Caenorhabditis elegans: one gene and its partners. The protein of the gene in region 4 interacts with the protein of the main gene of each other region in a pairwise test. Each region holds a gene or a part of one and is shown on either strand. Other genes may lie near its edges. The genes, in order: dmd-8, tbx-9, memi-2 and ceh-8.

Region 1 (5,163 bases), on a different chromosome or scaffold from region 4:
AAAATGTTTGTCAAAACAGGAATCATGTCAGTAACCCTCCAGACAATCATGTTTTGTGAAACGTACCCAAATCACGGGGGACCAGTAGTGTCTCGCGGTGTCTAGAACAATTTTGGACAAGCGATCAGAAACGTGTACATATAATACATATAAGTCTAAAGTTAGAAAAAATTTCTAAAAACAATATGTATGTTTTTAAATGTTAAAAAAAATTAAATATAGAGTTGTTTTTTTGAAAACTGGCAATATCACAATTTTTGCCACTTTTTCGAAAATCAAATTTTAAAAGTAAAAATAAATTTCTTCGAGCTTTTTTAGTCTACTTATGAGTCAAATATATGGGGCAAAACTCAATAATTGCTTTTTTTGACTGTCCATAAATTTTTTTAAAATTGTTTTGAAAATTTTTATTTTGGTATTTTGTCATTTTACACAATAGGAGTGGTTTTTAACAATTTCTTAGCTGGCCCGACTGCATCTTCTACATGAAAACTCAGGAAAACCAGTGATCTCTCAAAACTTTTGAAATTTTTATGAATAGCATTGGCCAGCATCGCATTTTGAACCATCTTATCCAGTGACGCAAAAATTTGACTTGACCGAGTCAAGCCGGTGCTTATCCAGGTACTTTCGAACAACGTGGCTTGGAGCTATCAAAAATGATAAGCAGATTGAATTTTGACGTTATTGGTGTCAAAACCAATGTCACTAGGTATGGTTATTTTTAGGAGTGCAGGTTTTTTTTGGAAAATAAAAAAATGTAACTTCATTAATTTTTTCCAAGAATTTTTCTTATGGGTTGATTTTTTTCAGGCTTTCTACCTACCTCCAAGAAATCTTGTTGCATTCTATGTTTTCCTATTACCCCTATTCCACGTGACAAAATATAGATTTCCCCGGTGGGAGCAAGAATTCTTCAAAGATTACGGTAGAGCGTCTAGACGGTGGCAAAAAAACAAAACTTGTCGATCAGAAATGAGCATTTCCCAAATGAGCATAAACTAGTATAAAACAACTAGTTCCTACATGTTTTAGTATAGTTTTTTTAAACATTTTTTTTACTGGAAAAAATGTTTTTTTTGTGCAGCCGACAGTGATCGAGGACGGTACAGAATTTTTTTTTAACCTTGCGTGTAAAATTTGGTGCATTGGAGTCGGTGAACGAGGCTTTCGGGCTTGCTTGCCAGGCTCCTTTTCAAATTTAGATCGAATTTCATTGTTTAGAAAAAACATTTTAAAAAATTATTCCATTATTTAGAAAAAGAAAAAAAATCATTCAAAACAAAAAAAGCATGATAAAGGCAATCACAGAAATGGATTTAAATCGCCTAATAATTCAAACACAAGGGCTAAGCAATGCGAGAAAAAGATTAGCAATCGTCAAAATCCGCTACAGATTTTCTTATATTTTCCACACAAAATTTGAAACCACTCTGAGCGATTGATTTTCGACACAATTTGTCATCCGATTTGTTGAAACTTCTGAAAATCTTTTTAGTTTTAGTGTTTTTTTGTGGTTGTTATGAAACATTTTGCAATGATTTTCAGCTTGCTCAACTTTGAATTTTCCAAGGTTTCGTAGGCGTAGACCATAGGCGTAGGCCATTAGCCATAAGTGTAGGTCATAGGCGTAGGCAGTAGGCGTGGGTCATAGGCGTAGGCAGTAGGCGTAGGCCATAGGCGTTGGCCATAGGTGGAGGTCATAGGCATATGTCATAGGCGTCGGCCAGCAAGTTTTTCAAGTTTTAAAAAATTCGAGTGTTTTCAAAACGAGATGAGCACCACCTTTTTGTGAACAAAATGAAATAAATCGGCTTTTAGTCCAACTGCTCAGTTGCTCCATACTGATCCGCGTAAAACCCCGACCGGATTGCCCCTCCTTATCTACGCAAACTGCGAATCTACGTAATTTCCCCCATCGACATGAGAATTCCGTCATAGCTCCGCAGAGCCAAAATAGAATGTTTACGGCGAATTTTCTCGAATGAGTGGGGAGGGATGGCGGAGACGTTAGACATGGTTAGACAGCAATCAGGGATATTCAAGAAAGAGGCGGAGCCGGCAGATACAGAAAATCTTTCATTCCTGGATTGAAGATGGGAAAGGCGGATGAAATTTTATTTATTTATTTCGATTCCATTTCATTTGTGAATTCATTTCGATAGCTTTTTTGCTCCAAGGGGAGCTAGGTTACTGTAGATAAGGGAAATTTTTGGTGGCCGAAGAAAACTAGAAAAACTTCGGTCACGCGCCCAAGCCTCTACAACTTCCTGTTTTGCTTATGCTTTCCCTGAAAATTTCTCTGAAAGCATCGTCTATATAGCCCCCAGGGCCTTATCAGGCGACTAGTAAAACATGTCACAAGATTTTTTTTCAGACAAGTGACTGAAAGTACTGTAAATATTCCATTGACGCAGTGTCTATAAAATTTCAGCCAATCAGGTCATCAAGCTCAAGCATCCCTTATCTTGTAGCCCTCACAATTTCATTTTGTGCTTCAACTTTTCCAACTCTTGAAAAATGGAAAATTTCAGACTTACCTGATCATGTCCTCATCTTCCCTGTCATCTTCTTCAAATGCCTCATCGCTCAGTGCTCCAGAAGGGCTTTCACCAAACAACAGCCTCTCCCCGGATGTTGGAGCACAGAGATTTTTCAGCCAAGGGAAAAGGATCCCGAAAGGTGAGCTATAGCTTCTTAGCAGCCGACAGTTAATTGGTTTCACGAGAAAGGGTCAGTAGAAAAATGTATGGTTGGTTAACTGTCGGCTGCTGATTTTTTTTCAGAAATTAGTATGGCCTACGCCTAACATAGTTTTATTTTTTGTTAAATTTTCAGATGTGAAACGGCACTGTGGAATGTGCAAGCAGCATGGAGTTTTCGTAGAGACGCGCGGGCACACCTGCGAATATAGAAGTTGCGAGTGTGAGCAGTGTGACTTGGTCCGTAAGCGACGGGAGATCATGTCAACTCAGATTCGTCTCCGACGAGAGCAAGACAAGAAGTTCCAGGTACCTTGTGATTTTTTTCCTAATTTTCCTAACTATCCCCGTGTTTCAGCGTACCAATGATATCAGCGAGGCCAACGTGTTCCCAGGCTTCACAGGTGGGGAGGCAGATGAAAAAGCTGTCATGGAGAACATGAACATGTGCTATTTCTGCCAAAAATGCAAGAATCACAATGTGCTCGTCTGGAAGAAAAATCACAAAAAGGAGTGCCAATATTCCAGCTGCGAATGCCAACAGTGTAACTTGATTGATTCCCGTCGTGCCCTGGACCGGCATATTAAGAAGCGAAAAATGAGCATAAAGGGCAACACGGTTGAAGCTATCGCACCGAAAAGTCCCAAAAAAGAGGGCTCCACCACGGCTTCATCATCGTCACTCTCATCTTCTTCGGGCTGCAATTCGGACGAGTCGGCTTCATCCTCGGATTGCTCGCTATCTGGAATGCTATCAGAGAAGTTGAACATGGCTCCGCAGGTTCAGATGAAATTCGACTTCAGTGCCGGGGGATTTATGATTCCTGCAGCGACTTCGGCAAATGCAAGCACTAGTCCGGCTGGTTCTCCATTTGAGGTGAGGTTCAGATTTTCTGAAAATTTTTTCAGGTACAGCTTGAACCTGAAAAGGCATGTGGGCATGTAGGCATGTAGGCATGTAGGCATGTATGTATGTAAACCTGTAGGCATGTAGGCATGTAGGCATGTAGGCATGTAGGCATGTAGGCATGTAGGCATGTAGGCATGTAGGTATGTAGGCATGTAGGCATGCACTAGTCTCGTCCTAAAAACTGCTCTAAAAGGTTTTTTCCAGAATTTCTAAAATTTCTAAATTAAATTTTTTTCAGACAACATCTCCAATGCCGCTTCTCCTTCCGCATTCACCAATTGCTCTTCCACAACTTGCTCCATCAAGCCTACCGCTTTCATTTCTTACCGTACCCTCTCTCATGTCCACCGCGGCCTCACCATTTTTCACGGCTCCGCTTATGTACGGAGCTGCTCCAACTCTTTTCCCGAATCCTCTCCTGATGACCCCTATCGGAATGCAAATGTTGTTCCAGAACTTTCAAAATTTTCAGAATATCCGTGAGCTTAGCGCTGCAATTAGCTGCGCTGAAACCGATTGATTTTTCTTTTTAATTTTTCAAAAAAAAAAACAATTTCCAATCTGTGATTTATTGTCTTTTCCCTGTAAAACTCTAGTTCCTTCCCAGTTGCACCTCAAAAAGAGTAAAAACCCCATCGAAATTTTAAGCTGTGCGGGTTTTCAGTTCAAACATGATGATAATAATATTTTGATGTTTTTGTGTTTTATATTTCCAAAAACTTTTTTTTGATTCTGCAAAAGTGATAAATTAATAAAATTGTACTCTTATCAATTTATGACTCGACTAGAAATTGAATTATAAAGTCACGGTTTTTACAGAGAATTTTCCGAATTTTCAGCCACCATATCTGGAATTAAGCTTGGATTTAGAAATTTCACGGCCTTTTTTGCATAAAACGTCAGGAAGCAATCCCATATATTAAAAAAAAACTAAATGTTAAAATTCAAATATATATTTTGTAGAATTTTTTGTAATTTTTTTTCAAATTTTGCTATTCCAAAAATAAGCTTTCCGGCTAAATTGAGCAGTTTCACTTTTTTTGATTTTTTATTTGAGACGTGATCTGTCAAATTTGCATGCATTTTACAGCAAAAAAATTAATGTTAAGTTCAGGCCAGTTTTAGAGTTTCACCCAATTCCTTTCGGCCTGTCAAGTTTCCTTTAATGACAATGGTTGAAAATTTGAAAAAAATGGCCGAAAAATTCATTTACCAGTGAAATCTCACAATCAGATTTTTTTCAATTTTTGAAAAATTTAAAATAAATCTTTAAAAAATTAGAAATTTTGTTTCGGTTAACATGACCTGTTTTTTTGTATCTCTTCAAAAAATCTCTTATAAAAAGCGAACTGTAAAGTGTCGGCTGCTTCCTAGAAGTTCTCGTTGTCTTCACAAATCACAAATAAAGAAAGAAGTCATGTCACGATCGTGCCCTCGAGACGTCATATCAAATTCTATTGCTTATCAATGTTTCAGTGCCCAACCTGAATCCTGAGTCACCCGAGAAAATGTTCTTGTTAACGACTCGAGCCGGTACTAGTGATTTCATAA
Region 2 (5,241 bases), on a different chromosome or scaffold from region 4:
TCGATCATTTTGTTCCACGTGGCCGCGAAAAGAGAAAGCACGACCACTGATTTCTGGCAATTTTTTCCTGTACCGTGTCAATTATTTGAAACTCTAATAAGCTGGTATTTTTCTGCTATTGACAACTAACTGAATCCATAATTTGCAATTATAATATTGACTTTTGATGTGTGGCTTAGAAAAAAAAAACCAAAAACCTCATCTAGCTTTAGGCTGCCAATATATTCCTAGGACATATAAAAAACCCTTAAAATTCTCTGCAACACCTACAAGCTATCAAACGTACTATTAGTATTCAATTTTCCAGTCGACCCCGATGACAAGCTCGCCTCAATGCAATCGAACAAAGAAGGAGAGTTCTCACTTACCGGATCCGACGACGAGATCACCTCAATCTCTCCATACCTCATAATCACCCACAACTGCAACGTGAAGAAGGCCGGATGCAAGCGTGTTTCAGAGTATTTGATTCCAAAGGAGAAGATCGGTGGAACCTATGATATGACATACGTCACTCTTGATATTCTTTCCGCTAAAGACAAGGAGAAGTGCTAAGAAAATGTTTTTTTTGTTTGTTTGCTTGTTTGGAAGGGAAGGACTTTCTATCTCTTTTAATTCAACAATAAACTATTGGAAAACCTTGAAATTTTAACCTTGAACTGTAAGAAAAGTTGCGTGATTATGTTGACAATTTTGCCAAGTATATCTTTGTGGATATCACAATAAACGAAGTCAAAGCACGAAATATTACGGAAACACAAAATTAATGAGAATGCGCAACATATTTGACCGCAAAATATCTCGTAGCGAAAACTACAGTAATTCTTCAAAAGACTACTGTAGCGCTTGTGTCGATTTACGAGCTCGATTTTTGAAATGAATCAGACTAGAAGAAAAGGAGGAAAATATTGAACATCAATTGAACATCAATTCAAAAAGTCGAACCCTTGACTACAGTAGTCTTCTAAAGAATTACTGTAGTTTTCGCTACGAGATATTTTGCGCGTCAAATATGTTGCGCAATACGCATCCTCAGAATTGTGTGTTCTCGTAATGTCTTGAAAATTTTCCATTTCAACATCAAATAAGCAAATCTAAAAATGTGGGTTCTGCAGCGACCACTATGACTGTGATCGTGGCAAGACCCACTCAGAAAACTACGTGTTCCTTTAAACAATACATTTTTAAGTATTGTAGGTATAAAAATTGTTGGCTAGCAGTCTAGGCTGCCTTTTTCAGTCGACAAACTTCTAATTTAATCGGCGGGTCTTCAAAAAGTCGTTTCTTTGAAAATATAAAGCTTTATATATTTATATATTAAAAATTTTGATTACATGATATCAAAAGCGACCAGTTTGCATAAAAATTATCAACCAACAATATCAATATCTTCTTCTACCTCCTGATCCTCCTCCTTCACAATGCTCAGCTCACTGCTCGAGCTGGAAGGAGTCGACGGGAGAGGCGAGAGAAATGGAAAAGCGAATGGAAATTGGACTGGAAGATTTTCAGATAACATATGGGGAAAATAAAAAAGAAATGGGTTGATTGGAGGCATCGACTGAAGAGGTGCGACCTCCGGTGGTGATCTGGATTTTGGCGATGGGGACTGTGAGTTGCTGCCGTCGGAATATGATGGTGATCTTCTCTTGCGACTCAAGTTCCCGTCACGGAAACCTTTGGCAAAACTGTTGTGCTTGATTTTCAAGTCGGTGATTTTTTGGTTCTGAAATGAGGAAAAATTAGGTTTATTATTCAACTCTCTCTATCTTTGAAAACAAAGAATCTATTAAGAAATTGTTAAACACCATATTATGGATCACAAAGCGAGCAATATTTTTGTAGTTGACAACTTTTATATAGCTCTTTTTATTGGCGAGGTAGGAGTGCTTAAAGTAGCGCAGTTTCAAATTTATAAATAGAGCCAAATTTTGAGCAAGTGTAACTCTCCTTCTTTTAACTCTATTAAAAACTTGTCAACTAACTAATTAATCTTTACAACTAGGGTTACAAATTATTAGTTAACGACTTCTTGATAAGTATGATGGTTGACAAGACTTCCCCCTTCCTTCCCAGATTTCCCATTGTTCACAAAATATTGATTCTTCCGAGATAAGATCCATGCGCTAATACTCTTACTCTCAATACTAACCTGGTAAGCCGTTACTGCAATAAACTCGGTATGAGGGAATTTGGCGGTGGCGACGATTTGGTTTGAGGATTGTGGGACGCAGAAAGGGCTCTCCGATGGAGACTCGTAGATTGTCAGCACTGGAATGTACTTGTGCATGCTGTTGAGGTAAATCTGAAATTTCAATTTTAAATTGGAAATTGCCAAGTAATTTTAAAGTTGAAATCCTACCATTGAAGCGTTGTTGGACTCTGAATAGTTGGAGATTTTCACACGATCAAAGCAAATCGAACTCCACATCCAGTCACTGAAATTAATTGGGGTTACTTTGAAGATATAAATTTAGCAAATTTAGAATTATTTTCATCTGAATTATGTTGTCAGTTGACAAACGACAAACTTTGAAAACTTTAATGTTAGATGAGATGTAACCCTCAAAATATTCCAAAGGCATTTGAATGCCAGTGTCGGCAGCTCTAACTCTTCAATGGCTCAAGCTAGAAAAAAGTTGTCAACTGGCAAATTGTAGATGATAAATCAGTTAACAATTTTCCAGTTAACATCTTTTTTAAAACTTCCAAGCCCGCTGAGATATGGCGCTTTGAAGTTGTAATACCAGGGCGGAGCTAAAAAAAGTTGCCAATTGACAAAATGGTTCTCACTATTTTGATAATCATGTCAGTTTACAAATCTTCATAGCTTCTAATCTTCCAATTCCTATGTCACACTCACCTTCCCTTCCGAACTCCATCAGCATGCCACATCTTCTTCGCGTCGACCTGCTTCTCAGCTTTGCCCGTTTCCTGCCACTTTCCACCGCTGAACTTGAATCGACTTTCTCCAACTGGTTGTAATTGGAGCATTATTGCATACAGCTTGTTTTCATCAAGCCCTTCGACTATATATTCCAACTTTGGGAACAACTTTCGGCCGTTCTTCGTGACAATCATCTCGTTGACTTCTGCGTGGAATATCTTCCAGAGAGTTTCTTGGGATCCTTCGATTGATACTTTGACTTTGGACATTTTTTGTCTGAAAACGTTAAAATATATTATGAAAACGAACAGCAAAAAAAAAGTTGGAAAATGGTATAAGATATAATGTTATATTCTCACCGGTTTGGCAGCTACACTTGCTTAGAGTGTGGTACCAGTGAGAAGGAGGAGCGGGAAAACTATTCTAACTTAAAAACGGTGGTATCTAGCAAAAAGTTGTTAACTAACAAAGCAACAATGATAAAATTTGCAATATTTTGTTAGTTGACAACTATTTGGTATCTCTTGCCAGTTTTGAGATAACGTCTGAGATATCCCCGCCGTTCAAAAATAAGAAAACAAAAAAATAGAAAAATAAGAAACACGATAAGATAGAGATGTCATCACAAAAAAATGGTGATTTAAGACAAAGAAGTGAGAAATTGTGCACATCTTCACCCCATCTCACCTCATTGCCAAACCACACCCCTCTGCAAGGGCGGGCAGGTTGTGCGCGTGGCCCTCTCGGCTATCGATTCTGGGAAGACTTGGCGGCTGACTGGTAGATCAAAAGAGTTGGGTATACTTTCAAAACAAAATTGGGAGATCAAATTCTGATGTGGCATAGAAATAGAGAAGACGGTCCGAAAATGTTGGTTTTATGTAAACTTCAAAAAATGTTCAAAATTTAAAGATGATACAACTTCCTTATTAATTAAAGAATTATGCTATGTATACCATGCTTATCGACAGTATGGATTTTGTATATTTTTACTTTGAGATCACTTTTCTCAAGAAAGAATGACAGTAAAAATTAATGTAAACTGAATTTTTTTGTACCATATAAAAACCGAAATTTGAAAAAAATAACTTTATTTAATGTTTCAAAATAAAGATTTTACCATTTTACATTTTCATACCTTCCACAATTACCCATTATTCCATCTTCAAACCCTCCTTCTATTTCCAGATAATATACCATTTCCAAGTATACCCCTTTTTTGTCGGTTACCTCCAAAAGAGCATACGTTGTAAAATTTTTGAGCCGGTTAGTTGTAGTGGGCTCTTTTGATAGAACACCGACAGTATTGACTGGAGGTGTAAAAATTGGTAGCTGAAGGAAAATGGATAAAAGAAAACATTGGTTAACGGATCAAAATTATTTTGCATTTTTAGACATAAAGTGATATTAAAAATTCGAATTTCATAACGAATGTTCTAAAACATTGCTCAAAAATATTAGGAAAAACTCTCCAAATTTTGCAGATCCATTAAAATTTCTGAGCAATTTTTGAGCAAACCTTTTAAGTCTATAAGTCAGGATAATTTTGATATATTCGTCTTCCCAAAAGCTATCAAAAAGATGTCAACTTTCAAAAAAAAACTCAATTTTTTTCCGGGGTCTAACTTTTTTGTGGATGCAGCTATCAAAAATTTGTCAACTAACTGATTGTTCATAATTTCCAGAGCTATATTTTGTCAGTTGGCAACTATTCGGTAAACTCGAAGCTTTTCGAGATAATCGTTTCCCAAATTGTTATCTGAACCCAAATTTCTCCGACCCCATTAGCCCCATTTTCCTAGAAAATAAGACTGATCTCCAAAACACCAAAAAAAAAGCTGTAAAACTTTACTCTTCCCAAAACTCTCCGAGTCGGTGTTTTTACGGGGGGTACCTCTAAATCAGGTGGTCGATAAACATCGTGGCGGATTTATAACCTCCACAATTGTTAGTTGGCGTCAATGGATATACAGGTGATAAGGTTTACAATCACTGATTAGTTGTTCTGAATTTTTTTTTCCCAGGAACACAAAAATTGAGGTTTCCTGCTTTTAAAATGTTTTTAAAAACACTAAAACACTTGTTCAAAAAATTTAAAAATCACATTCCTTCCCTAACAAAATAAAATTTTAAATTTATTAATTCAATTCCATACCTATTAATTAAATGTATATCCTCCTCCACAGGTGCGAACTCCTCGTTGTACGCGTGTCTGCCACGTGGCGGCGAGAACAAAGTGCTGACATTCATTGTTTTGTCTAATTTTGCTGAAAATATCATGTGCAGCTATTTTGGTGTCTATGTCAAACAAAGAAAGTAAGATATGTATCTGTGTTCTCACCTAGAATTGTTTC
Region 3 (4,785 bases), on a different chromosome or scaffold from region 4:
TAAATTATTAAAGATGTTTTTTTTCGAATTTTTTCCTTATTAGATTCGAAATTGTCTGAAAACACCGAATTTCATGATGAAACTTCTTGAAAACTTCTAAAAAAAAACGTTATGACGGCTCGAAAAATGACCTAATGTTAGATAAAATTTGAGATTTGACCGGCTTGAAACAAATTTTTTTACGAAATCACCGTCTAATTTTGGGTATACAATTTAATTATCTTGGGTTTACAACTCGATTTAGGTATTTTAAAGTCGATGGACGGCGAGATTTTTAAATTTTTTTACCTAATCTCGCCGTCCATCGACTTTAAAATACCTAAATGAAGGTGAAACCCCGAGATAATTAACTTATATACCCGAAAAAATTAGTTTCCAGCCGCTTGACAATTCGGTCAAATTTCAAATTTTAATTAATTTTAGGTCATTTTTTGAGCCGTCATAATTTTTTTTGAGAAGTTTTCAGACAATTTTGAGTCTAATAAAGCAAAAAAAAATTCGACTACATCATCTTTAATGATAAATTTAAAATTTTAAAACTAAATACCGTACAAATTGTAAATAAATGAATTCCACATCAACGGATTATTTGTTCGCTTTGAAATCAGCTTATTAATTGTGTGCACCGCCCATACATACTCGTTATTCTGAAAAAAAAAACATTTAGAAATTTAAATAGATGGAAGAATTTCCCGAACCTCCGCGAGTTGAGCACCGATAGCTTTTCCCATGGAAGTTTCGCAGATGATGTCAAGAGTGCAAAGGGTGATGACGGAGAGAACATCAACTTCTTCACTGAAATAAAACGTTCGAAAGAGTTATGTAAGAATTAAAATTCTCACTCTGCTACACCGAGGCAACACAATTTCTGAATCAAAATCTTCGATTGCTCGTTAAAAATCGGCAAGAAATCCTTGAGAATATCATAATGGAAGGTTGGTGTCAATAGTTTTCGCTTTGGACGCCATTGTTCCTTTTGGCTCGTCAAAATACTGATTCCAAGCCATGGCTCAAGCAAAACGTATGCGAACCCTTTGTTCAGATGTTTCGTGGAAGAGAAAATAGGTTCAACAAGATCGGCAGAGTAGAGCATAAGACATGGGAATGGACCAATCCAGAGAAGACACATCCGTGGATCTGGATACAAATATCCCATTCCAATCACTTGATTCATGAATCCCTCTGGATCGGGCTTTGTGATGAGTCCGTGACCGACGATTGGGTATGATCGTGGTTGGTTGAGGTGCTGAAAGTTTATTCAATTTATCTTTAAATGAATTTTGCAATCAAACCTTCAAAACTTGACGCATTCTCAAGTGTTTGTAGATAAGCCAAGCAATCACCGTCGCCGAAGCGAGAAGTACAGCGGGGATGATAACCCCCATTGTAGAATCTTCTGAAATAATTTATTTGAGCGAAAAAAACGAGCAAAAAGCGTTGAAAACTCGAGGAAAAGCCTGAAAATCGCAACAAAACAAACGTTTTTTGATTGAAAATTCAAATTTCTCCCACGCTTTGTCGAGACCTATGTGAAAATTGTTATGCGCCTTTAAAGAGTACGGTAACCCAGAAAAGACGAATTTTTTTGAGAATTATTCGTTTCAGCTTTTTTTAAGACGAGCACAAAGCATCAAAAGCGTTTTAAAAATAAGAAAAACGTTTGTTAAATTTTTTCGATGCTGAAAATATTAAAAAATCGCAATAAAAAGAACGAATTATAAGTAAAAAGTCAAATTTAACTTGCGTCGTGGTGATAGCCATGTGAAAATCTTCAGGCGCCGCCTTTAAAGAGTACGGTAGGCTTGAGAAAGTTCTCGAACGAATTTTTGTTGTTTTCTGATATTTAAATCTTGATTTAATTATTAAAAAGTTCCAATCACTGTTAATTTTTCATTAAAAAAAGTGAATAAAACAAATCCAAAAGTATTTATTTTTGAATGAATATTGTAATTTTTATGAATGATCTCCCCGCGAAAAATCAGCGCAACAATTTCATTATTTTAGGCCCAACAAAATTTTTTGATCGTGTGAATTCTTCTTCTTTGCTGATGTATTAAGCTGATGCTCAGAGAGATTTAATGAATCTTTTTCATAGCTTTATCGGTAAATTATTCTTAATCTGCAAATCACTTGAGCACATTGTTTTCTTCTTTTCCATTAATTTTTTACACCAAAATTTTTCAGAATGTCAGCTCCATCTCGCACCGTTCTTCGCGAATTGACAGCGACCAGATACGTGGTCAACTACAACGAAGAAGATCACCTGGAAACCGCTCGAGCCGGTTGCTCTGCCCTCCCACCACAACCCAACATCAATCATGATGTAATTATCGAAGGGCATGGAGAAGACGTGGAGCTCGTCGACGATCAGAACTACCGTTCCCTGCATCGTATCGATGAGACTCCAAAGCTCGTCGACAAGAAGCCGAGCAAGACAGTCATCCGCGATGAAGCTGTCAAAGTGCTCAGAAGCATTCAAACAATGCCGATTGAAAGTCTTCGTCTCAAGCGCTACGACTTCTTCTCGCAAAGATGGTTCAACACGACCAGAGAATCGGAGAAAGCGCTTGTCGAGCACGTGCTCCTTCATCCCAATCAGCGACCACACTATTTCGCCGCTCAGTGCCGCATGCTGTTGGTCGAGGATATCTCCAGTTTGATTCTGGTTAATTTCTTGAGAATATTTTTCCTGAAAGAATTAAATTTAATCTCAGACTTCCTTCCTGGCCGAGCCGAAAGAGACGGGTCAAAATGTGGTTCGATTCGCGATCCAGGCAACGACTGAAATGCCATTCCATCTATTGTTTGCTATGCTCGAACAACTGGAGATGGAAAACGAAGGATTCCAGATGACAGACAGCTTTGTGGTGGCAACGTTGAACCGATCACAGGGCAGAGTACGAGAAACAGTTTTCTGTTTCATGCCAATAACTTTTTCAGACTACCACTCGTCACCTGCGAACCACAAACTGCCGGGAATACGGAAATCTCGAGCCAGGACTCGATTCACAAGGCCGACTGATGGCCTCGACTGCATCAATCACGTGTTCTATCCGAGGAAAGCGCCACGTGGAAACGAGGATCGTGTACAATAACAACTCGAACGCCAGGAATACTTCAGGGAGAAGTAGAGTGAGTTGAGCAGCAATAAAATCTCGATTTTCAATTTATGAAATTTTCAGTACATCGAATTGGAGCAAACAGTGAAGTGCAAGAACCGACGTGTGCTGATTGTCGAAGATCCAGTCGAAATCCACGAATTTGAGATCGAAAAGGACATGATCCCGCTGGGAAAGGGAATTGTGCCAGTCGAGGACCTGATCACGTTCCTCGAGACATTCAAACTGGATGAAGAGGACGAGTAACTCCAGACATATGTCCTATAATTTGTAATGTACATAATTCTGTATTATTGTATCAGTGGTTCTTGTTGAATATATCAACTAACTTTCCCCTTTATTTTATTTTCCTTTTTTGTTTTGGTCGTTTCCTGTATATAGATTCTCCGCTGCCCCAAACTATTTTGCTTATGTTTAACATGTATATTGCTTGAATTAACATTGCCAGAATATGAACTGGTTGATTTTGCAATCTTTTTAACGATGAGATGAATTATATATTACATTCAGTAGTTGTCTTTATAATATTTGGAATTTAAATTACTTTACTCCAAAAAACAACTTCTTTTTACTTTACTCCAAAAAACAACTTCTTCCGGTTACTCATATCCGTTTCTCCACACTCACCTTTGATCGTTTTCCAACAACTTTTCCTCCTCTCTAAATTTTGTTCGAGTTCTCACTCTCACCACGTGCGGGGCTCCAAATAACAGCTGCTGCCTCTGAAATGTCATCGCGAGGCTAAAGATTTCCATTTCTCACAAAATTTGCCGTTTCGGCATATAATCTGTGCTCTGTGTTGGCTGGCCGACGATGATTGAATTGGCTCATTGGCTCATTTATGCGTACTTGTGAGTTTTAAAAATGGTTTGCCGGTTTGCCAATTTGCCGGAAATTTGCCGGTTTTCCAATTTTTCGGAACTTTTCAATCCCGGCAATTTTCCGGAATTTTTCCGGTTTGCCAATTTGCCAAAGCTTTTCAATTCCTGCAGTTTGCCGGAATTTTGCCGTTTTGCCAATTTGCCAGAACTATTCAATTCCGGCAGTTTCCCGATTATCCGGAAATTCGCCGGTTTGCCAATTTCCCGGAACTTTTAAATTCCGGCAATTTGCCGATTTGCTTAAAAATTGCCTGTTTGCCAATTTGACGGAGCTTTTCAATCCCGACAAATTTCCGATTTGCCGGAAATTTGCCGGAGTTTTTCAAGTTGCCGATTTGCCAGAATTTTGAAAATTTTCCGGAGCTTTTCAATTCCTGCAATTTGCCAATTTGCCGAAAATTTGCCGGTTTCCCAATTTGCCGGAACGTTTCAATTCCGGCAATTTCCCGATTTTCCGGAAATTTGCCGGTTTGCCAATTTGCCGGAACTCTTTGTTTCCGGCAATTTGACGGAACTTTTCAATTCCGGCAATTTGCCGGAGTTTTTCAAGTTGCCGATTTGCCAGAATTTTGAAAATTTTCCGGAGCTTTTCAATTCCTGCAATTTGCCAATTTGCCGAAAATTTGCCGGTTTCCCAATTTGCCGGAACGTTTCAATTCCGGCAATTTCCCGATTTTCCGGAAATTTGCCGGTTTGCCAATTTGCCGGAACTCTTTGTTTCCGGCAATTTGACGGAACTTTTCAATTCCGGCAATTTGCCGGAGTTTTTCAAGTTGCCGATTTGC
Region 4 (8,995 bases):
CTTTTATCAGTAAATACGCGTTGTCGACCTTAAAACTGTTGAATCAATGAGAAACAAAAATTCAAGAAAATTACAAATTCACACGATATTTCAATAATTTACAGTAATCCATTTTCACTTCAATTGAATTTCTTGTTGTGTTCATACTTTCACTTTGATTCTCCCATTCAATTTCATAATTGGCTCCCCGAAGCAATATTTTTCATATCTCTGTGAAATAAATGATCTCGACACGACCGAATTATTTTAAATGAAAAAGAGTGTGCGCCTTTAAAGTGTACAGTACTTTTCTTCGACTTTTTTTTAAAATTTAAACACTTGCTATTTAATGTGAATAACAGAAGTTAGACGTTTTGAAATAGAAAACGAGAAAAATCTAAAAATTGGGAAATAGCGAAGTGGGAAAACTACTGTACACCTTAAAGGCGCACAATCGTTTTAATTTAAAATTGTTCGATCGTGTCGAGACCGGGTACCGTATTTTCGTTCCGTAAACGCAACAAAGATAACGGTCCCACTAAATAACTAACCCAATCGAAATGTTTTTGTGTAGCTTGACCACATTATCGTCGAGATCATGTGTGAAAATTATGAAAGTAATGCATCTATAGTGATATTTGGTGGGGTTTTAATTATCCAGGGAGTATACGGAAGGTAGGTTTCGGAGTTTATGATAAACAAATGTAAAAGTCACGAGTTCAGAGATACGAGGTTTTTGCAACAACCCGATGGAGATCGAGGCCAGCAATCTAATATTTTAAAACAAGAAGTACTTAAAAAGATGATAAAATAAGGCAAAAAATTAATTTCTGGAATTCGTGGACAGTGTTAGATACTGTAATAACTCTTCTTCCAATCAAGCACAGAATATCCCTTCAAGAACGCATCGCAGTCTATGTGTAAGTTAAAAATTAAAAAAATATACGATACAATATTAAAAAGAACAAAGATGAATACTTTAAAAAACCGAAGTAAAGCATGGTCACCAGACCTAGGTCCTTAGGCTTAGTTGCTTAGCTGCTAATTCGATACGATAGGTTACATGAAAATTGATCTATATGATGGATTATATATACAGGGTGCGATTAACGTTTTGAATTTTCAAAATATCCCCATCCGCATCGCTGCAGGACCTCAGAACTTTTGAGATCTCAATTTTTTGGCACGCAAGTAGGCACTCTGCGGGATTTCTACACTTTTTCTCGAGGAATCCACAAGTGTCTTACAAGTTTTTATAGTTCAAAGAATGCTCTTGGTCTAGAGATTCCTAAAAAACAAAAATCCAAAAAAGTTCTGTCATGGTATGACTGTGGCAGTACTTTGAATGACAAAGACGCCTTGAATGATACAGTCGCCAGAAAGGTGGATGTGGGCGGCGGCAGCAGTATCCAAGAAAATTAATTTTAGTACTTTTCGACACGTTTTGATCTGACTTTCAAGAATTTTTATAGAAGATTGAGCTCGGATGATTTTGTGAGTCGTTACACCTTGTGAAGACAAAAAAAAACTGAGTAAATTTCGCAAAGTTGATTTCATGAAATATTCAAAGGTTCTTGCTAGGCGCCAGTGTCGACACATAAAATTTTTATATGCTACGAAAACAATCAAAAACGCTTCTTAACTTTTTAAACTTTGGATTTAACATGAAAATCATACATCTGAAAATTATTGGCGTCCGTCGGAGGTGCGTTTGTGTTGGAGGTGCCGCGTGCCAAAACACCGTTTCGGCGACAGGGATCGTCAAATTGCCGAGGCGATAAAGATTGCACCTTATTGGGAAACATTACAAATTTTAGGTCAAATTGAAGGAAATTTATTCAGCTATCAGTATTCTATAGAAAATTGTACGTGTGAAGTGGCAGTCGCGCGAAAAAACCCATTTAAAAGAGCGCTTCACGTGTTACCATACTTTTGGCGCACCCTATATATATATATATATATATACATTTGGCCTACGGGACATTTTTCAACTGAGCAAAAGGTGTTGTACGGTTACATAAATGCCTCTAAGAGACGCTGTGTTTTATTACAATTGGGAAAAAATATCACGTAGGTTGTAAGCTGTTTAGTATAAAATGTTGCAAGCATAGCAACTTATTTAATGTAGAAAAACTTTTATGGTTTGCAATTTGACCAATTTTTGATAAATCCCTACTTCAAAAGACACTTAACCAGCTAGAAACGTTTTTCCCGATATGCTGAACATGTGCCAAAACGCATACTGTATTTATTTAAGCATTGAATTCCCTTGAACATAAAGCATGCGACCTGATTGAGGAAGGAGCACGAAATATAAATTTTATGATGACAATTTATGGTTTCCTCCCGATATTCCAGCTTGTTCCCTTTGCTGCTTCCCATCACACAGTTCTTCTTTAGATTTCTTTTATTGGATGGCTCCTCCCCTCGCTCCAAAATATTCCCCCCTAGAAAACTGGAGTCAATCTCCTCCCCAATATATTCTGCCACCCTGCTGCCCTCAATTTTTCCTGTCCTGTCATCCGGGATGAGCAATCCAACTGACAACAACTCTGCCACGTCATCGATAACACCAAATTGTGAGTTTTTGATGTTTGAAGTCTCTACAAATTTGGTAATTCAATTCACCTATTTTGTCAAATTATATCCAAATTATTTCCAAATTCGATTTGCGAGCTTTTTTGGGGCTCCACCTCCACCCCCTCTAATTGAATGGAATTTTAGTTGTTTTTTTTTCGTTTGAAAATTGGAGATTATTCATATGCTTGATTTGTCGGATATGTTCAAGAACGTTTGATTTAATTTCAAAATTTAAAAAAAAATCAAAATCTCTGTTTTTTAGATTAATGAGAAATGTTAATGAGAAATCTAGATTCGAATTTAACTGTGAAAGAGTATTAAAACTTTGTCCGTCGGGGTTCCCAACAAGCATTTTTCTTGAAATTTTAATACATCATGCAGTAGAACCTTAACGCCACATTGCAAAACACGAGCTTAAAGGTTACGTTTTCACTTTTTTTTCACTTTTCAGGGATGCATGTTTGAACTGATACTTTTAAAGTATTATCAGCATCTCAAGCTAGATCAATCAAATCTAATTTTCTTTCTCGCTCTCAAATTTCTTAAACTAAAATACTATAAAATACTCCAAGTTTTTCAATCAAAATAGTAAACTTTAACTGATATGAAGTCTTGTCAACACAACCTACCAACGCTAACAAAAGTTCTCTAATAAAATGAGTAATCCCCAAATGACCTCGAGAAGCTGCTGGAAGAAAAGTCATGTGAAAAGCATACGTTTCTTTTCCAAGGCTATCAGGTGAGATATGCGCCAAAATACGCATTCTCATTTTACATTTCTAAACAACAAATCTGAATTAAAAACATATTAGGTATTTATTTCTTTAATGAACATTCCAAAGGGATTTTATTATCCTGGATTTTGGACTGATGGTAACGATTCTTATTACTTATCAGAATAAATATCACCCAGATTCTAAATTTTGCCAGAAGAATGCGGTACACGGTCTCGATACGACCGATTTAAGCCCAAAATTTCCGGCAATCGTACCGGATTTTCTGGCAGTTTTCAGTACTGTAGTTCCCAACTCCTCGTCGTTGCGGATTAAAAAACTGACATTGAAAATGCGATTATCCGTTTCTAGAGAAAATTCTTCCGTAAAAAAGCACATAAACCCTTTTATTCGAAATTAAACCATTCATACAATAAGCCATCGTAAATTTCAGAAATCAAATGTTTCTCGAAAGCAATTATTCAACTTTTTCCTAAACTCATCTCATTTTTTTTTTCAGTTTCGGCGTTTTCCTCATTTACAACATACAAACCATCCGACTCATTTTCTTCATTTGAATCTGATTCTTCTCCATCAAAATCATCATCATCACGAAAGAATCGAGATAAGATAGCAGACAAGAAGCAACGTAGAAATCGTACAACATTCACGACATTTCAACTTCATGCTCTTGAAGCTGCATTTGATAAAACTCATTATCCAGATGTTTATGCAAGAGAAACATTGGCTGCTAAAGTTCAATTGCCAGAGGTTCGAGTTCAGGTGAGAACATATTTTTTATCTGAGAGTAGAGCAGCGAAAAATATTGAAATTTTATTATTTACTGTTAAATTAAAAACAGAATTTAATCAGTTTTCACATATCAATTTTTTAAGTTTACCAGAATAACCAACACAATTTTTTTGCAATGTACCAAAACTAGACTGACTATTTTGGCAAATCTAAAATTTCCATTTTGAGAATATTTTGGCATTCCGTCTTCAATATGAAATTTTAAAAAATTATATTGTAACATATGAATCAGTTCTGGTAAATCGCAAAAAAACGGAGGTTTCCTTGAATCTGAAAATTTACGGGTCACCAAGAACTTATTATTTTTACAATAGTGCCTCTTTGTTTTAGAACATCTTTTGCTTTAACTTTTTGCTGAAATAAAACTTATTTTTTTTTTTTAAATAGTATATATTATTCACAAGAGTAAAACTGAAAATTCACGGTCGACTAGCCAGTGTTGTTCAATATGAAAATGACTGCAGTGGAAGCTCTTGTTGTTTTTTTGGAGATTCGACTTTATTCGAAAAGCGAGAATTTGAATTGCTATCTAATAAATGGGGGGGGGGGGGGGGTTATAGAGATTAACAATTTATATTGTCAAATTTGATATTTTTTGTAATTCTCAAAATTAACAGAAAATTTGAAATACTCTGCGATTTGGTAATTAAAACATTTTCAAATTTGGATACGGTAATGTTCAATTTCGAATTTTTTTTAGTTTACGAAAAAATTTATCCAGCGTAGTAAAAGATTAACATATACATGGCACAAAAGTGAATTCACATATTTTCATTCTTTAATATAATTATGAATATAACTCCACTCGAGAGCTCATGACAATTAAAATTCGAACTATTTGCTCTTGTCCATGACCCTACTTGTCCTTTTTCCATGCAGCTGTGAAAACTGATCTCATCCGGAACAATTAGTAGTGTTAAATTGGCAGGTTAGCACTCCTGTCACACTTCCTTATGCTCTTCTGATTTTTGAGTCAAAAGGGGGACAAACAATAAACAGTAGAAGAAGAAGAAGAAGATAAGCATCTGACTAATCGACATTGTCTTCTCAAATTTCTTTTTCTTTTCCGTCACTTACATCCTACCAATTTAAGGATTACCTCGCCGAGTCTCGACACATTGTTGTCATACAAGGAAAAATATGGATGCTGGGGAGTGAAGAAGTACATTACGATGGACTTTGAAAAAATGAAAATGAAGTTCTATTTGTAAATTGGGGGGGGGGGGGGGGTGGTTATAGATTAACAATTTATATTATGAAATTTGACAATGCTCCGAAAAAATATTTTTAGACAATTCATTTAACGTATATTCTCTATAAGATATAATGATCTATAAAACACATGAAAATCATTAGATTTTTCAATATTTTCAGTCAAACAATCGGAGCTTTTTGAGTAACTTTGAGAAATAAAAAATCGGATTTCTGTTGGTTTTTCCTTTATTTCTAATTCGGTATACTTGGTGTAATTTTCCGGCGGACTGAGTTTCCCGTAAAAAGAGCGAGCGTTCATCAAGACAGTTTACACATTCTTGATGGGATTACTGTAGGTGGTGGATAAAGAAAGATGTTAGGAGGAACAAGAGAAGAAAGTAAAAACATGGCACTTTAATGGACAAGATGGGGCAAAGGGAGCATAGAGATTGACAACTTACTAATTGGTATACGGTAGATGAGGGAAATAGTGGCGGAGAAGTCGAATGGGAAAATAATAAATTGGGGAGGAACTTTATTTTAAATCAGATATTCAAAATCTACATTTGAAATTTAAGTTTTGAAAATTGAAGCCTTTGGTTTTCTAATGGATGGTGCAACTAATGGATGGTGTAACAAACTTATCATAAATGTTGCGTAAGTATGTAAGTCGCCTAGAAAATATTTTTATAAAGAATTGGCAATGGTCGGGAAGTTTACGTTAGAATTTTTGAAGCTTGAAAAAACGAAACTCTCAAACCTCCCACCTGGACGTGATTTTTTTCCACTGTAATTTCTTCCAGAGTGCAGATGGTAAAATTTTGTCAACAAAAAAAATTGTAGAAAAAATTATGGGAAACATTTGTTTAGTTAAAATCTTTTTGCGAGCTACTGTAGTTTTCGAGTTATACTTATTTGAAAAACAACAAAAAATCATCGCAAAATCAGAAACGAATATTATATTTTAAAAAATTGGGTCAATTGTTATAAACGTTAGGTAACTTTTATGTTCTGACTTTTCTGTAAATGTCCTATTCAATTCTAAATGTTTTACTTTCTTCTGTTTCAGGTATGGTTCCAAAACCGCCGAGCTAAATTTCGCCGTCAAGAGAAGCAGGATTGTCAAGGAGAGGAGAAGCATTCACTGAAAGATACAATGCCATCTTGGTTCGCTTCTTATGATAAATGCCCGTCTAATAGAGTTATCACATTTAGGTCATGGATGAGTGAGAATAAGACAGATACACCGCCAATGCTTCCTCCAGCAAATACACTTTCATCAACTCATAACAATGGAATTTCCGATGAATTCTTCAAGACTTCCGAGGGAAAAGAAGTTTATGGGTTTGTTTAAAAAAGTTTAATTTCTAGATTAAAATCAATATAAATTGGTTTTCAGGTTTCCATTCGCTGAATATGGGACTCCGGCGGACAACACGCACGTCAGCAAAACTGGAAACGTTTTTCATTTGAATTTCGAAGACAGTGATAAGAAATCAATGAAAAAAGTATGTTTCTAGTAAATAAAAAGCTTACGACTCGCCTAGAAAGTGAAGGAAATTCAGTGAAGAAAAAATATTTTTTTAAAAATTCAAGAAAACGGCTGTACGCCTTTAAGAGTACTGTAATTTAAAGCTTTCGTTGTTGCGGAATATTCGTGGATTTTTCATTCGAAAAATCATTCTTACGACTTGTTATTACGGGAACAATAAATCATGAGAATGCGTACTCGGTGCATTTTATTTGACGCTAAGAGATATCGCGCGTCAAATAAAATGCACCAAGTACGCATTCTCATGATTTATTGTTCCCGTAATAGTTTTTAATTAAAAAATTATTAATGAAAAAGGATGAAAATTTAATTAAAATGCTACAGAAACGATAGTTTGATATTACAGTACTCCTTAAAGGCACACACATGTATATATTTAACAAAAAAGCGACGCGCCGACACCAAGTACCGTATTTTTGGCTTAAAAATATCGAATTTTCGCGTCTGAATAAGCTTAATGTTTATTTTTCTGTAAAATTACTGAATGTGTATAAAATTGACCATGAATTTTTCAAATTGAACGCGTAAAAATTCCAGGAATCGCCTCAAACACCATCGACAAGTAGTCCATTCATTTCGGAATATCATCCACCATTTATCCCTTATTATATTCCAAATCAATCATTTTCCAATGCATTTAATCAATATCCAATGCCATTCCCCTATCCAATTCACTTTGAGCCACCACAACTTACTCATAGTCAGGAAAATTGTTGATTTTATATGGAAAACTATTACGAATGTTAGATTTTACTCATGTTTTTTTTTAATCTACTGATTTTATGATTTTTTCTTCAAATATCCCCCATTTCTTCAATCTTCCTTCGGCACAATAAACAGAAGTTTCCAAGGGGGCGGCGCACACCTAACACATTTTAGAGTGGCGCGCGAAACCCGTGATATGTCGGAGGCCGCAGCAACTATCGTCTAGCAGCCGGCTGTCTCATTTATTGCAGACCGGTGATGAAACTGTTCTAGGAAGTGCCGTCTTAGAAACAATGATTATGAATTGGACGCTGAGGTCACTGCAACTAAATTAATTAAAGATTGAGTATGAATTCAGAGAAGTTAATTTAACAAAGATTAGAGCTATGTTTTATTGTTTTGCTGAAAAGTTACAGATAAATCGAAGAGCAAGAAGTTTCTGAAGTATTTTCTCATGATTCAGCCAGATTATCTGTATCAGTTTGTTCTTACAATTGGAGCATCGCCACCAATGAGTTTTCAGAAATAATTTTCTAAAACATGATGAGCTTGTCATGTTATGCAAGGGAAGAAGATTGTAGCATTACAGTTCGTCGAAACGTACATTTACCTTCATGAAAGTTATGAAAACTCTGAATGGTTAAAATACAAATATAACAAATAATATTCAAACCACAAGAAGAAAAATCATTAATTTCTTGAAATTCTAAGCCACATACACCCATCGGTTATTGCTATGTGAAATAACACTCGATAAAGGGAAGGTGTATCGCCGAAAAATTGAGAAAAAAGTAGACGGATAGGGGATCCTTTCCAAGCGAAAAACTGGCTATTATGCAACACGCAGATCTACTTTTTTTGAGCTTTTTGGATACGTATATAATGGCAACGATTTTTACGAATAGACATCATCCAACGATGACAACATCTGGACAATTGGTTGCTGGTACTGCCGTTGCACTCTGCGGAGTTGCTATTGTTCCAGGTAAATTCATTTTTAAGTCATTCTGCTCACGAAATGTCTCAATTTTCAGCTATTTTTGCCGCACTGTTTGTCCTTCACGACATTAATTCCTTCCAATCAGGAGTATATGAGGATCTTGCTGAATTCAAAACTCTTGCTGAAGATGCTTGGACTACAATGGTTCCACGTGAAGATGCTGTTCAACCATTCGAGACCTTCCTTAAAAGATTCAGAAGAGGATATGGAGATGCTGGAGTTGCTGGATCTGCATCCGGTTCTTCTGGTTGCAATTGTGGACCACAACCAAAGGATTGTCCAGCTGGACCACCAGGACCACCAGGAAATCCTGGAACCCCAGGAGATGATGGACCAGCTGGAAGAGCTGGAAATCCAGGAAGTGACTCAACTGAAGGGGATCGTATGGCTGACTTCAATAAGGATGTGAAGTGCCCAGCTGGACCACCAGGACCACCAGGACCAAATGGATTCCCAGGA

The links.
Region 1: the proteins of ceh-8 (region 4) and dmd-8 interact in a two-hybrid assay, tested with the Caenorhabditis elegans proteins (one large-scale study listed by BioGRID).
Region 2: the proteins of ceh-8 (region 4) and tbx-9 interact in a two-hybrid assay, tested with the Caenorhabditis elegans proteins (one large-scale study listed by BioGRID).
Region 3: the proteins of ceh-8 (region 4) and memi-2 interact in a two-hybrid assay, tested with the Caenorhabditis elegans proteins (one large-scale study listed by BioGRID).

What each region holds. Positions count from the first base shown.
Region 1 is NC_003283.11:333,822-338,984, reverse strand, and holds dmd-8 (DM domain-containing protein), read left to right. Parts: upstream 1-2,534; 5' UTR 2,535-2,546; coding exon 2,547-2,682; intron 2,683-2,838; coding exon 2,839-3,011; intron 3,012-3,060; coding exon 3,061-3,579; intron 3,580-3,850; coding exon 3,851-4,132; 3' UTR 4,133-4,384; downstream 4,385-5,163.
Region 2 is NC_003281.10:10,338,696-10,343,936, forward strand, and holds tbx-9 (T-box transcription factor tbx-9), read right to left. Parts: upstream 3,164-5,241; 5' UTR 3,157-3,163; coding exon 2,864-3,156; intron 2,439-2,863; coding exon 2,363-2,438; intron 2,306-2,362; coding exon 2,153-2,305; intron 1,727-2,152; coding exon 1,370-1,726; 3' UTR 1,311-1,369; downstream 1-1,310. Other genes in the region: ttr-15 (Transthyretin-like protein 15), read left to right, coding at 308-555. UniProt on the Caenorhabditis elegans protein: Transcription factor. Involved in the control of early morphogenesis of the intestine, hypodermis and body-wall muscle. Involved in regulating expression of vab-7. Appears to have partially redundant function to tbx-8.
Region 3 is NC_003282.8:13,397,906-13,402,690, reverse strand, and holds memi-2 (MEiosis-to-MItosis transition associated), read left to right. Parts: upstream 1-2,184; 5' UTR 2,185-2,185; coding exon 2,186-2,665; intron 2,666-2,714; coding exon 2,715-2,897; intron 2,898-2,940; coding exon 2,941-3,132; intron 3,133-3,182; coding exon 3,183-3,365; 3' UTR 3,366-3,623; downstream 3,624-4,785. Other genes in the region: cyp-31A5 (CYtochrome P450 family), read right to left, coding at 553-647, 699-795, 843-1,246, 1,293-1,385.
Region 4 is NC_003279.8:8,244,408-8,253,402, reverse strand, and holds ceh-8 (Homeobox protein ceh-8), read left to right. Parts: upstream 1-2,454; 5' UTR 2,455-2,506; coding exon 2,507-2,558; intron 2,559-3,352; exon of another isoform or gene 3,353-3,386; coding exon of another isoform or gene 3,387-3,432; intron 3,433-3,792; coding exon 3,793-4,055; intron 4,056-6,348; coding exon 6,349-6,446; intron 6,447-6,494; coding exon 6,495-6,623; intron 6,624-6,678; coding exon 6,679-6,787; intron 6,788-7,368; coding exon 7,369-7,548; 3' UTR 7,549-7,898; downstream 7,899-8,995. Other genes in the region: col-63 (Nematode cuticle collagen N-terminal domain-containing protein), read left to right, coding at 8,455-8,521, 8,571-8,995.